Drosophila melanogaster: one gene and its partner. The protein of the gene in region 2 interacts with the protein of the main gene of each other region in a pairwise test. Each region holds a gene or a part of one and is shown on either strand. Other genes may lie near its edges. The genes, in order: pod1 and CG15572.

The links.
Region 1: the proteins of CG15572 (region 2) and pod1 interact in a two-hybrid assay, tested with the Drosophila melanogaster proteins (one large-scale study listed by BioGRID).

The regions. Positions count from the first base shown.
Region 1 is NC_004354.4:6,801,741-6,806,936, reverse strand, and holds the start of pod1 (pod1 coronin), read right to left. Parts: upstream 3,254-5,196; 5' UTR 3,171-3,253; intron 2,842-3,170; exon of another isoform or gene 2,760-2,841; intron 1,953-2,759; exon of another isoform or gene 1,931-1,952; intron 1,810-1,930; exon of another isoform or gene 1,688-1,809; intron 1,553-1,687; exon of another isoform or gene 1,462-1,552; intron 1,260-1,461; 5' UTR 1,028-1,259; coding exon 719-1,027; intron 320-718; coding exon 133-319; intron 57-132; coding exon 1-56.
Region 2 is NC_004354.4:4,266,718-4,271,641, reverse strand, and holds CG15572 (uncharacterized protein), read right to left. Parts: upstream 2,942-4,924; 5' UTR 2,612-2,941; coding exon 1,154-2,611; 3' UTR 559-1,153; downstream 1-558.

The DNA of each region.
Region 1 (5,196 bases), 2.5 Mb from region 2:
AGAACCGTCCTCGCGCCAACTGGCCGACTGTATCACCTCGGGGTGCTCATTGTTCGCTGTAGAGAGAAAAAACATATTTAGTTAGGGTTTTATTTAAAAAAAAAAAAAAAAAAAAAGAATGTGTTTACTCACAGAATATCTCCTTTTGAGTGCTGAGATCGAAGAGAGCCACGCAGCCGGCGGCTGTGGAGTACATCAAACCATCTGCTGTTGGATGGAAGCCCACTGTCTCTACGCGTCTCTGCTTGTGTGAGAAGATTGCCTCCGGATCGGAAAGCGACTGCTCCAGACCTTTTTCCGGTATGTGCCAGATCTTGACCTGTGGATTGCAATGGTAGTGATTGATTAGCAGGGGGACTTTGTGTCATGTTGACTATCTAATTTGTGACTAATGTGATAGCGTTGCGATGAAATTATGGTTTCTGGTGAGTTATTAATATTAATAATAGCATATTATTGATTGTTCGTTCTTATCACACTCATAAACTCATTATAACATGCAACTATTTTATCTGTAGCTTCTGGTAAATAAACATTTAATGTTTGAGAAACGGAAAATACATTTTTATTAAATTAATAATATTGCAAAAATAAAACAAGAAAAAAAATATATTCTGAGTAACTCTATGGACATATCATTGGAAAGTAATGACCTAACACATAATATATTTTTGAAACATTTAGGGGTACTCCCAAATAATATTAAAGGATCTCTTACCAGGCAATCCTGCGAGGCGGTGGCCAGCAGCCCGTCGTGGAACGGGGAGAACTTAAGGTCCGTCACTGTGTCCGTGTGTCCATGGAGCAGCGGCATGGTCTTGCTCTTCCGGCCGCAGTCGTCCAGCGGGAGGACAGCGACGCTGGACCCGGTGTGCTCCCAGTTGAAGGCCATGAAGGCGCCGGAGGCGGCGATGTTGTTACCGTACGTCTGGTAGCTGCCCACGCAGATCTCGCGGACGCATGCCTCCGCCTTGGGCACAATGGGTGCGGCATTTTTGTACTTGGAAGCCTTGAATCGCCAGGCCATGGTTGGCTACTTGGTTGAGCTGGGAGGGCTTCGATCCGATGTGATGGCGATCCGATGCGGATGTGGATATGGATATGGACGTTCTCTGCTCGAGTGTAGAGAGTCGATTGTGGATTGTATATGCCCGATGCTTGATGCCTGATGGTCGAGTGTCACTAGTCCGGTGGCTCCCTCTCAGTCGCTCTCTTGCGCTTCGCTCTCCGCTCCGCTGCTCCGTTTCAGAGTTTCGTTTCTGGAAAATGGCAAAATAGCCGCATAAGTACGAGTATGATATCACTTGGGTGCGCGGGGGACATTCCACAGTTTGTTATCGTCTTGCCCGCCGCTCCTGACTCATCGTCATCCAAATCCGATAGGGCAAACAATAGCCGATAACCGAATATAAATAATAATACATTTAGCAAGTATGGATGGGGAAAAAAAGAGAGATGCACTTGCTATTGCGGCGATACGTCTATTGAAAAGAGAAAGCTGGACAAGAATGGTGTCCACCAAAGCCGGATGAGCCAGCCAGCCAACCCGACCAACACTCGCGCATTTGGCGTACGTGTTTGTTTGAGTATGTATGCGAATGTTTGTTTGTACATCATCAGGAAAGGCGAGGAAAAACACTGGGCAAAATATGATGAGTTCCGGCCGGTGGGGGTTAATTTGGCACACCTAAGGGTTAGTGATCCTCTTTTCAGCGTTATTTCTTCACTTTCTGTCAAGCTAAACATATATTTACTTAAATTTGCACTAATTTCTAATGTGTAATTTGCAAATATGAAGTACGTGTATGAACAACTGCTGAAAATGGCAACACAAACAGTATGATCCGAGCGGCGGTAAGGGTTAATATGCCACACCTAAGGGTTAACGATCCTTTTGATAAATTTCATGGAGAGTTTCACACACACATACCCTTGTACAAACACAACCAACTGGCTTGCAGTTTATGGATAAGCACAGTGAGCACTCTGTAAACTAAACATCACAGTGCAATGGCATCAATGAGCCTTTGGATCAAACAAATAAAATATTAGTTTGCGCAAAAATATATATTTTTCTACGTCTTTAGTTAGTTATTACTTTATTTTTATACTCTACTCTCTGGAGGCCGCACTGTGTAGTCTCCCGAGTGCAGTAAGCAAACGTCGAGAGAGCGAGAGCGGGAGGGAGAGAGCATGCGCCAATTCAACTGTTTCTGTTTGTTAGAAAGCGGCAAAACAAATGACCACTGGGGGTAAAAGGAGGTGCGGCTGGGGGACGGCCAAGCAGGTATTGGCCAGCGGAGCCACCAGGTAATGGGGTCAAGTGATTTAGAAAAGCAAAATCAAAGGCAATATAACGAGGTGATGTTGCAAAGTGAGAGCGAGACGGGCACAGGTGCAACCTGCAGGAGAGCTCAGCGGCTAACGGTTAACGGATGACAGCGGGCGGCGTGGGAGAGCACGAGCATCTGCATCCCTATCTCTCTCTTTCGCTTGGTTGGGGGTGGCTAGAAACAAGCCGGCTAGCATTTTTGTTGTTTTCACCCACTGCCCACTAAACACACACACACACATTTGCACTTCTGGTGGTTGGTTTTTGGTCACTTTGTTGTTCTTGTTGTTGCTGCTTATATGCATTTATTGACATTTTCACAAGTTTTCCATCCTATATTTTGCATACATTGCATTTGATTATTGGTTGTTACTTTCTAGTTTGCGTGCCATTCAATGAAAAGAGGGGTGAATTTATTTTTATATACTTCTTTTTTCGCTTTTCCTTCGTTTCCTTTTCCTTATTTTTTGCAGCACACACCCTGGCGCCGGCAGAAGAAGAAGAGGAAGAATCCAAAGCGGCGGCAATGACAATGACAACTACAAATGCAACAACAAAGGGTGCGCGCGGGGGTGGAGTGGGGAGCAGTAGCCGGAGAGGGGGTGGTGCAACTACACCAACAAAAACTGCGCAAAGGCGACGCCGCTTCTTTTTTTATGGGCAAACAAAGGAGCAGTTTTGCACACACACACACTCAGACGCACACTTGAGTTGCAGTGCTGCAACTGCACACCCACGCAAACATACACACGGGAGGAAAAACACGGCGATTAGGCTCACACACACGCGCCGGTGATTATTCTCCCGCTTGTAATTACAAATATTGCAATTAAATTACCAATGCAATCAATAAACTACGCGAGAGATCTTCAACTTTTTTTCAAACGTTTTGTCATCGTCTATCGATAGTTTCCATCTCCGCGTGCTAGAGGTGGCACCCATACATCGCCACAGCGCTATCGACAGAGCTATCGATTGCGATCTAATCGTCACTTTCTTCGTCACTATTTTCACATTGTTTGGGAAGCATTTTAGCAGCACTGCGCGACGGTCACCGCATTTTGTTGTTGTGTTGCGCGTTTAAAATTGTATTGTTATTTTTTATATTTTCTTTTTTTTGGACCGAATGAGAGCCGGCCAAAAGTGCAGTGCGAGTGCGATTGAATTTAAGTGAATACAAAGTGCGGATCGCAACACAACTTTATAAATATATGTACATATATGTGTAGTTAGAGCGAGACGGGGCGAAATATCAAATAAAAATACTGTACTGTGTGTGTGAGCAAATACTAATACTACTCAAGCGGAGAACGATGAAAATGTGCGTGTGAGAGGAAAAGAGAATTTAGTGTTTTTTATATTATTTACTGGCCTGCGGCTATGAGCAAAAAGAACCGAATATCATTGCGGAAAAAGGAGAATGAAAATTGCCAAGAGGGAAATCTGTGAATCCTGGCGGAAACACACGGCCTCATCATGAATATACTGCAGAAAATCGGTCAGTATTTCGCTCTTAAGCGCTCTCTTCGTTTTTTTTTTGGCGACTCCTTGGCTTTTCCTTCCAATTTCCACACAGTTTACCGTTTGCATTCGCCTCCATCGTTTACACACATTCCTCCGCCTCCGCCTCCGTCTCTGCCCTTCACCATCCTCTTGATCCTATTGCCACTATCCCTGTACTGCTCACAAAACCCGCGCCCCTTTATCCAGCAACGCCCCCGCCTTTCATTGTTGTTGTTCGTGTTGTTGCTGCTGCTGCTGCTCGTTTTGGGAGCTGTCAACAAGTCTATTTTTAGACTTTTAGATGCTGCAGTTGCATTTGCCTCTCTTCCAGAAGTGTTAAACATTGAAAGAACAACTCCAGAAGCGAACGCAAACATTTTCGTTTTCCTTTCCATTTCCTCTTCCTATTTTCATTTCGTCCCTCGCACCTCCGCTGCGCTCCCACACACACGAACACACACTCTCGTCTTTTTTTTCCTCTAAAATTCTTCCTAAATTTATATGGTTTGAAACCTGGATAAAAAGGCTGTCATCCTAATTGGAATTTATCCTCTTGTCGTCTTTACTCCATTTGTATAAACCATAGAATTTCACTCTGCATCCCATATGGAAGGAAGCTCCTTGAATATTTCCCGGAACTCTCCGATTGCATTTGACCTTTGTTTATCTGTAGAATTTTGTTTAATTAAATCATTCCGAAAATCCTTATTGACTAGAGTTTTTGAGGCACATCACTCATATACATATGTACATATATATATTTAAATCGCATTAAACATTTCTCGGAAATCCTGAACCGAATTTGGCCTCTGCAAACGTTATCCCTAACATTTTCCGCACAATTTGTGGGGCTTAGCAGAAAAGTAGGCAAGGATTTTACACAACGTTTTACTAGATTAAAAAAATCGAAATATTTTTCTTTTAACTAATAATATCCTACGCTTTAAAACCATATTAGTAAGTAAGTTCATATCCCCTCTCGATGAAAGGAAATTGGGCAAATGTGCGGTTTCCATGGAAATACGCTCTGCTGACTATATTTATGCACTTTCTGCCCACATATGAGAAGCACTAATTTTTGATTTAACTCTAATCACACACACACACATTACTTAATACCTGCGAATGGTTGTTTTCGTGTGGTATTTGGTATTTGATTTACCATTTTCTGTCTATTATTATCCTGTTGATTCCGACTAAACGCCAAGGATTTTGATTACCTGGAAAATGCACTTGCTCTAGGAACAAGAGTTTAGAACGCTGCGAAAGTGGGTGGTTAGAGGAATTGTGTGAAAATGCATATTAATCCTTTGCCCCGCTGACCCCATTGTCCACCCTCGTTTTAATTAATTCCGTGAAAA
Region 2 (4,924 bases):
GCCCCAATGCAACCACCCACTCCTTCCCGCCCGTCGCTTGCTTGGCGCCACTTTGTCGCGACGCTTTTTATAATTGAAGCAAATTGTTAGTTGAGTTGGCATTCACTCGTCGTCCTCCTCCTCGTCCTTACCACCCTCCGCCCACAGCCTCTCATCCTTGCCGTGGCTGCTGCTTTTGTTATTGTTATTGTCCTTGCATACTGGGAGATGGCATCCTCTATCTATCCACCATCAACCATCTCCGTCCTCCTTGTTGGCCTCGCATTGTCGCATTCCAATTACAAAACAATCATGATGAGCTCCTAGATACTCGCCACTCTGCACACAATAGCTAGTTAACTGTACAGATCGGAACAACCGCCGACCGTCTAAATGACTGCCTGACTGGAATGCCTGACTGACTGAGAGATGGATGGACGACTGACTAAATTGATAAACACAAAGTTGAATGCAAAAAAAAAAAAAAAATACTAATGGCCATAGCAGAATTTCAATGAGCAGTAGCAGGCCAATGAAATACAAAATGAATGGTTGAAATTATATATGAATTGTTGATTTATAACTGCGTAGGTCTTACGTAATCATACCAATTAGCGGAAGCCATTTATTAACCCCACATCTCCATCCATTAATAAGTTTGATGAATTTACCCGAATAGCTTGCAATAATAAAGCGCTTAACCAGAAAAACGTGATTGTTTTAACGCTGAAGGGAACATCAGGCAACGAAATATCCTCTGGAGGCAGCATATCGACTAAACCGTCCCCATTGGACTTGTATACAATGTATACTTTTGTCATCGTGAATTCTTCTTCTGCTCGTCGATCGCGGATCGAAGATTGCGTGCCTTTAAGCACAGGCCACGCATCGAGGATCACACGGACCGCTGTTTCGCAGACGTAGGTCACGTACAGTAAAACCAAATTGCGGGGCTCGTCGGCGGCACAGAACTCGGGGCTCTGGGTTGTGCAACGCACAGGACTACATGCTCACAGCCTCGAGTGCTGTGCAAGCTTAATTATAAAATGTATGAAGCAGAAGGATATGAAATGTGATGATAAAGATGCAGGATGCAGAATGTGGATTGCGGGATGCGGGATGATGCGTGTAGATGCCAGGTTGTGAACGTAGTTGAGGATTGGTTTTGCGTACATTAACGCCTGCGCCAGGACAACGGCTCCTTCTCCAGCTCCTTGGCCCGAAGAGCATCCGCGATGTTGCGTCGCATGATCTCAGCCTGTTCCACTTCGGGGAGCAGGGAATAGCGATTGCCCTCCTTCTTCAAATAGCCATTGTTAACGGCGGCGTGCAATGTGTGCGGTACATGGCGCTTCAGTTCCACCTCCGCTCGATGGAGTCTCTTGGATAGGCAGCTTATGATCTCCGGATAGCTCACCGATCGCTTCAGTTCCGTCACCAGTGACATGACGGCGCTGAACAAGTCCGGAAGCGGTTGTTTGCGCCAGCGGCCACTTGGTTTATGGCCCGACCTTTGCATTGGATGAAAACCATGGGCTAAGAACTCGTGGCTCATCAGTGGCGAGTTCGGCAGTAGAGGCTGTGAAATGTCCGACATCAGGTGTTGCGATACCCCCGGTAGTGGTGGCCGTACTACAATCGGACGTAGTCGTTGCAAAACCACCGGCGAAGCCAACGAGCAAATGCACATCAAAGATGGCTTGAATACAGCAGCCTGGGCATTGAGGCGATAGTCCCCAGTGCCCTGTGAGGTGGCACTGGAACTCGGTTGGGGCACGAATGATCCGTCATGAAGGGGTTCTACTTTGGCTGGCATCGTGTAAACAGTGGCATTGACATTTAGCTTGGAGTTGGCCGCCTTAATCAACATGGAAGAAGACGGTTCCTGTTTCTGGAAAACGTCCTCGTTATCCTTCTTATCCTCCGTATCCTCTTTAAACTCCTCCTCCTCCTCCTCCTTCGCTTTAAGCTCCTCCTTATCCTTCTCCCCCTTGTCCGTCTTCGGCGATGAAGACTTGGTATGCGTTAGGGAATCCCCCTTATTCATATTGCTCTCTGTTTGATGGCTGCACATTCCAGTACAACTCTTGACATTCGGTGAATCGCCATTATCCTGGGCAGGGTCATGGGCGTAGTGGACTTGGCTTTGGTCCCGCTTTGGGTCACCAAGTCCAATCCCAGATCCATGTCCTTGCCCCTGATCGCTGCACGTGTTGGTGCTGCTGGTCCTGCTAGCACTGCTGGTACGGCTGGTACTATTGGTAATACTGCCCTCCGGATTCATGTCCAGATTAACTCCCAGATTCACATCCACATCAAGGCCCAGACCCAACTCCATCTCCGTCTCCATCTTATGGTCCAGATCCAAATTTAGGTTCATCCCCGAAGAGATCTTATGTTGTATATGCTGGTGTAGCTGACTCAATTGATTCAATTGGTTTAACTGATGGAACTGATTCAAGTGGCTCAACTGATTGAGCTGGTTCAGTTGGTGATTCAGGTGATGTTGATGCTGAAGGTGATGCTGTGTCTCACCAAGTGATCCAGCCAACTTTTGGCCCATAATCATGCTGTGCCGTGCAGCCAATACTTCCTGGGGCAGATCGCCGAGTTTTAAATGCAAATCCTCCATTGCTCGTCCTCTGTCACAATAGATATTCCCAAAGGCGTGGTATGCTGGTTACAGGACAGTGCTTGCTAATTCGGCTAGTGGACTGATGTATTTGATGGTTGATGATTATTCTCGGTATTATATTTAGAATTTTTGTTGAGCTGCTTCGTTGGACTTTTCTGCGGTTATCTTATTACGGTCTGGAGGAAAACCGGAGAACGGGCAGTCGTCTACACACTTGGGACCAATAATCCAACAGAAGAACACGATACAGATACGATAATTTACAACAGTTTTTAGTATGTTGCCGAAAGATAAATTTTGCCGATCGAATGGAGGGTGTATGTGTTATGTATACCTAGAAAAGGCCCTACGTCAAGTAACGTAGACGGTAAAATCGCTGCCTACTGTGCTTGCTAATGAATTTATTTGTTAATATTACTTTCTAAAAAATATGTTGTACTACTTCTGTTCCCAAACAAAGGAAAGGCCTTAGCCTAAGCGTGTGCAGTACATAAATAATGGAATAAACGGAAAACCTCAACAACATAACAATTTTTGGGTTCCAGTTTTTCGCTTGGGTCGCTTTCGACCCAAAAAGGACGACTTTTCCGCAGGCCAAAACAAGCCGAATCCGTTTATCCAAAGGAGCAACATGTAAAACAATATGCCACCGAGGGCCCAAAAGTTATGCGTTAAGCAAACGAATAAGGGGAGCGCCCCGGGCCTGTTTTTAGACATTGTGATGAGGTGCGAAAATCACAAGAATTGGATTTTGTTCTTGAATTATGGCCAATCTTGCTCAAGGGTTGCTCTTTCCCATTTTGGGGCTCTGGCAATTGGATTGCACTAATTTCGTGTGTTTTTGGGTGCTCTTAAAAAGGCTCAAAGCGGATAATCCGACATTAGTGAGCGACCCTCAAAGAAAACGCAGTTGGCATGGTTGGGTGTTAATGTGCCGCGTCACTTCTCCATTTTGACTCGACTCCGCAGTGTTGGGTAATTTCACAATTTTCAAATTACGCACCACAAAATCTAATTTAGCTGAGTAAAGCCAGTTGACTGGACTAAACACTGGGTCCAGAGTGCGCAGTATTCTGCACACACACACACACACACACAAGATACTAAATGAGTTGCCCTAGTGATTGGTGGGGGGGGGGGGGGGGGTTTGGTTGGCTGTGGAGAAAGAGTTGGTGGTGCTGCATCATTGTAATGTGCTCGCCTCACGCTCGCTTGCCCCGTTCAACGGGCGTGAAAACAACGTAGTCGGTGCTAGGTACCTAGGACCTCTTGAAGCTCCGAGCTCCCAAAGACCAAACAGGTATTATCACAAATGAGGAGGGGGGGAGGGGGGATGTGTGTGTGGGACGGAGACGTAAGGCCAAGGACATAAGCGTGACTAAACCCCAAGCGCAGTGACTTCCGCCTCCCTCGAGGGTGTGGAATTAATGGGGATGGCACGGACCATGGCCGCATTCTGTTTGGACCCTTTAAATGCTAGTCGGTGTCGCAACAATCAGTGAACTCAAACAGTTGCCCGCACACAATCGCTTATTCAGTGAGGAACTAATAGCTTCGCACATTCTGCTAGGGATGGCGAAACAGCAATGCACGCTGATAAGATAGATTTTCAACATAGATTTGAAAAAGCTAAAGCGGTTATCACTAAAATCACATATAATACTGTTAGATAATGATATATTTTATCTATTAGAGTCTATTTTTGCCATCGCTAATCAAACCGAAATGAAGCATTCACACATATGTACTGCACATACATATATACATTGGTATATACTGCAGGTGGGACAGGCGAAAGTAAATGATTTGCGCCCGAAGCTGACACCACATCAAACACAAAGGACGCGATTGAGGTCGCCCGTCTTAGTCAACGTATCCTTGTTGATATGACCGCAAGCTCAAGGCTCTCAAATGCCAGCATCACACCTCAGAGGGGTCGGGTGGAGTCTTGGACATCGGCCACTCTGCCTTCGAGTTGCATTTCAATTAGCCCGTTTAGCTGCTGGCAACCGGTCGAGGGGAGGCAGTGGGGCCCCAATGCAGCTGACACACAAGTCGCCTGGGATTCAGGGATTGCCTTCGCCGCACGTCGATCAGCTGGAAGGAGTGGACTTTGCGGACCGCACCGACCATCAGGCCATCAGGCCAAGCGGCCATCCTGCGTCGTGTGTGGGCTTATCTTACCTGCCAAAGGATCTGCGAAACTAATTGGGGATTACTCGCAGGAATTATTACCTACAGTAAGTTGATTTGCTCGTTACTGTGTTCTTTATAGTCTCAAATGGATTTAGCTCAGAAAGAAATCTGTCT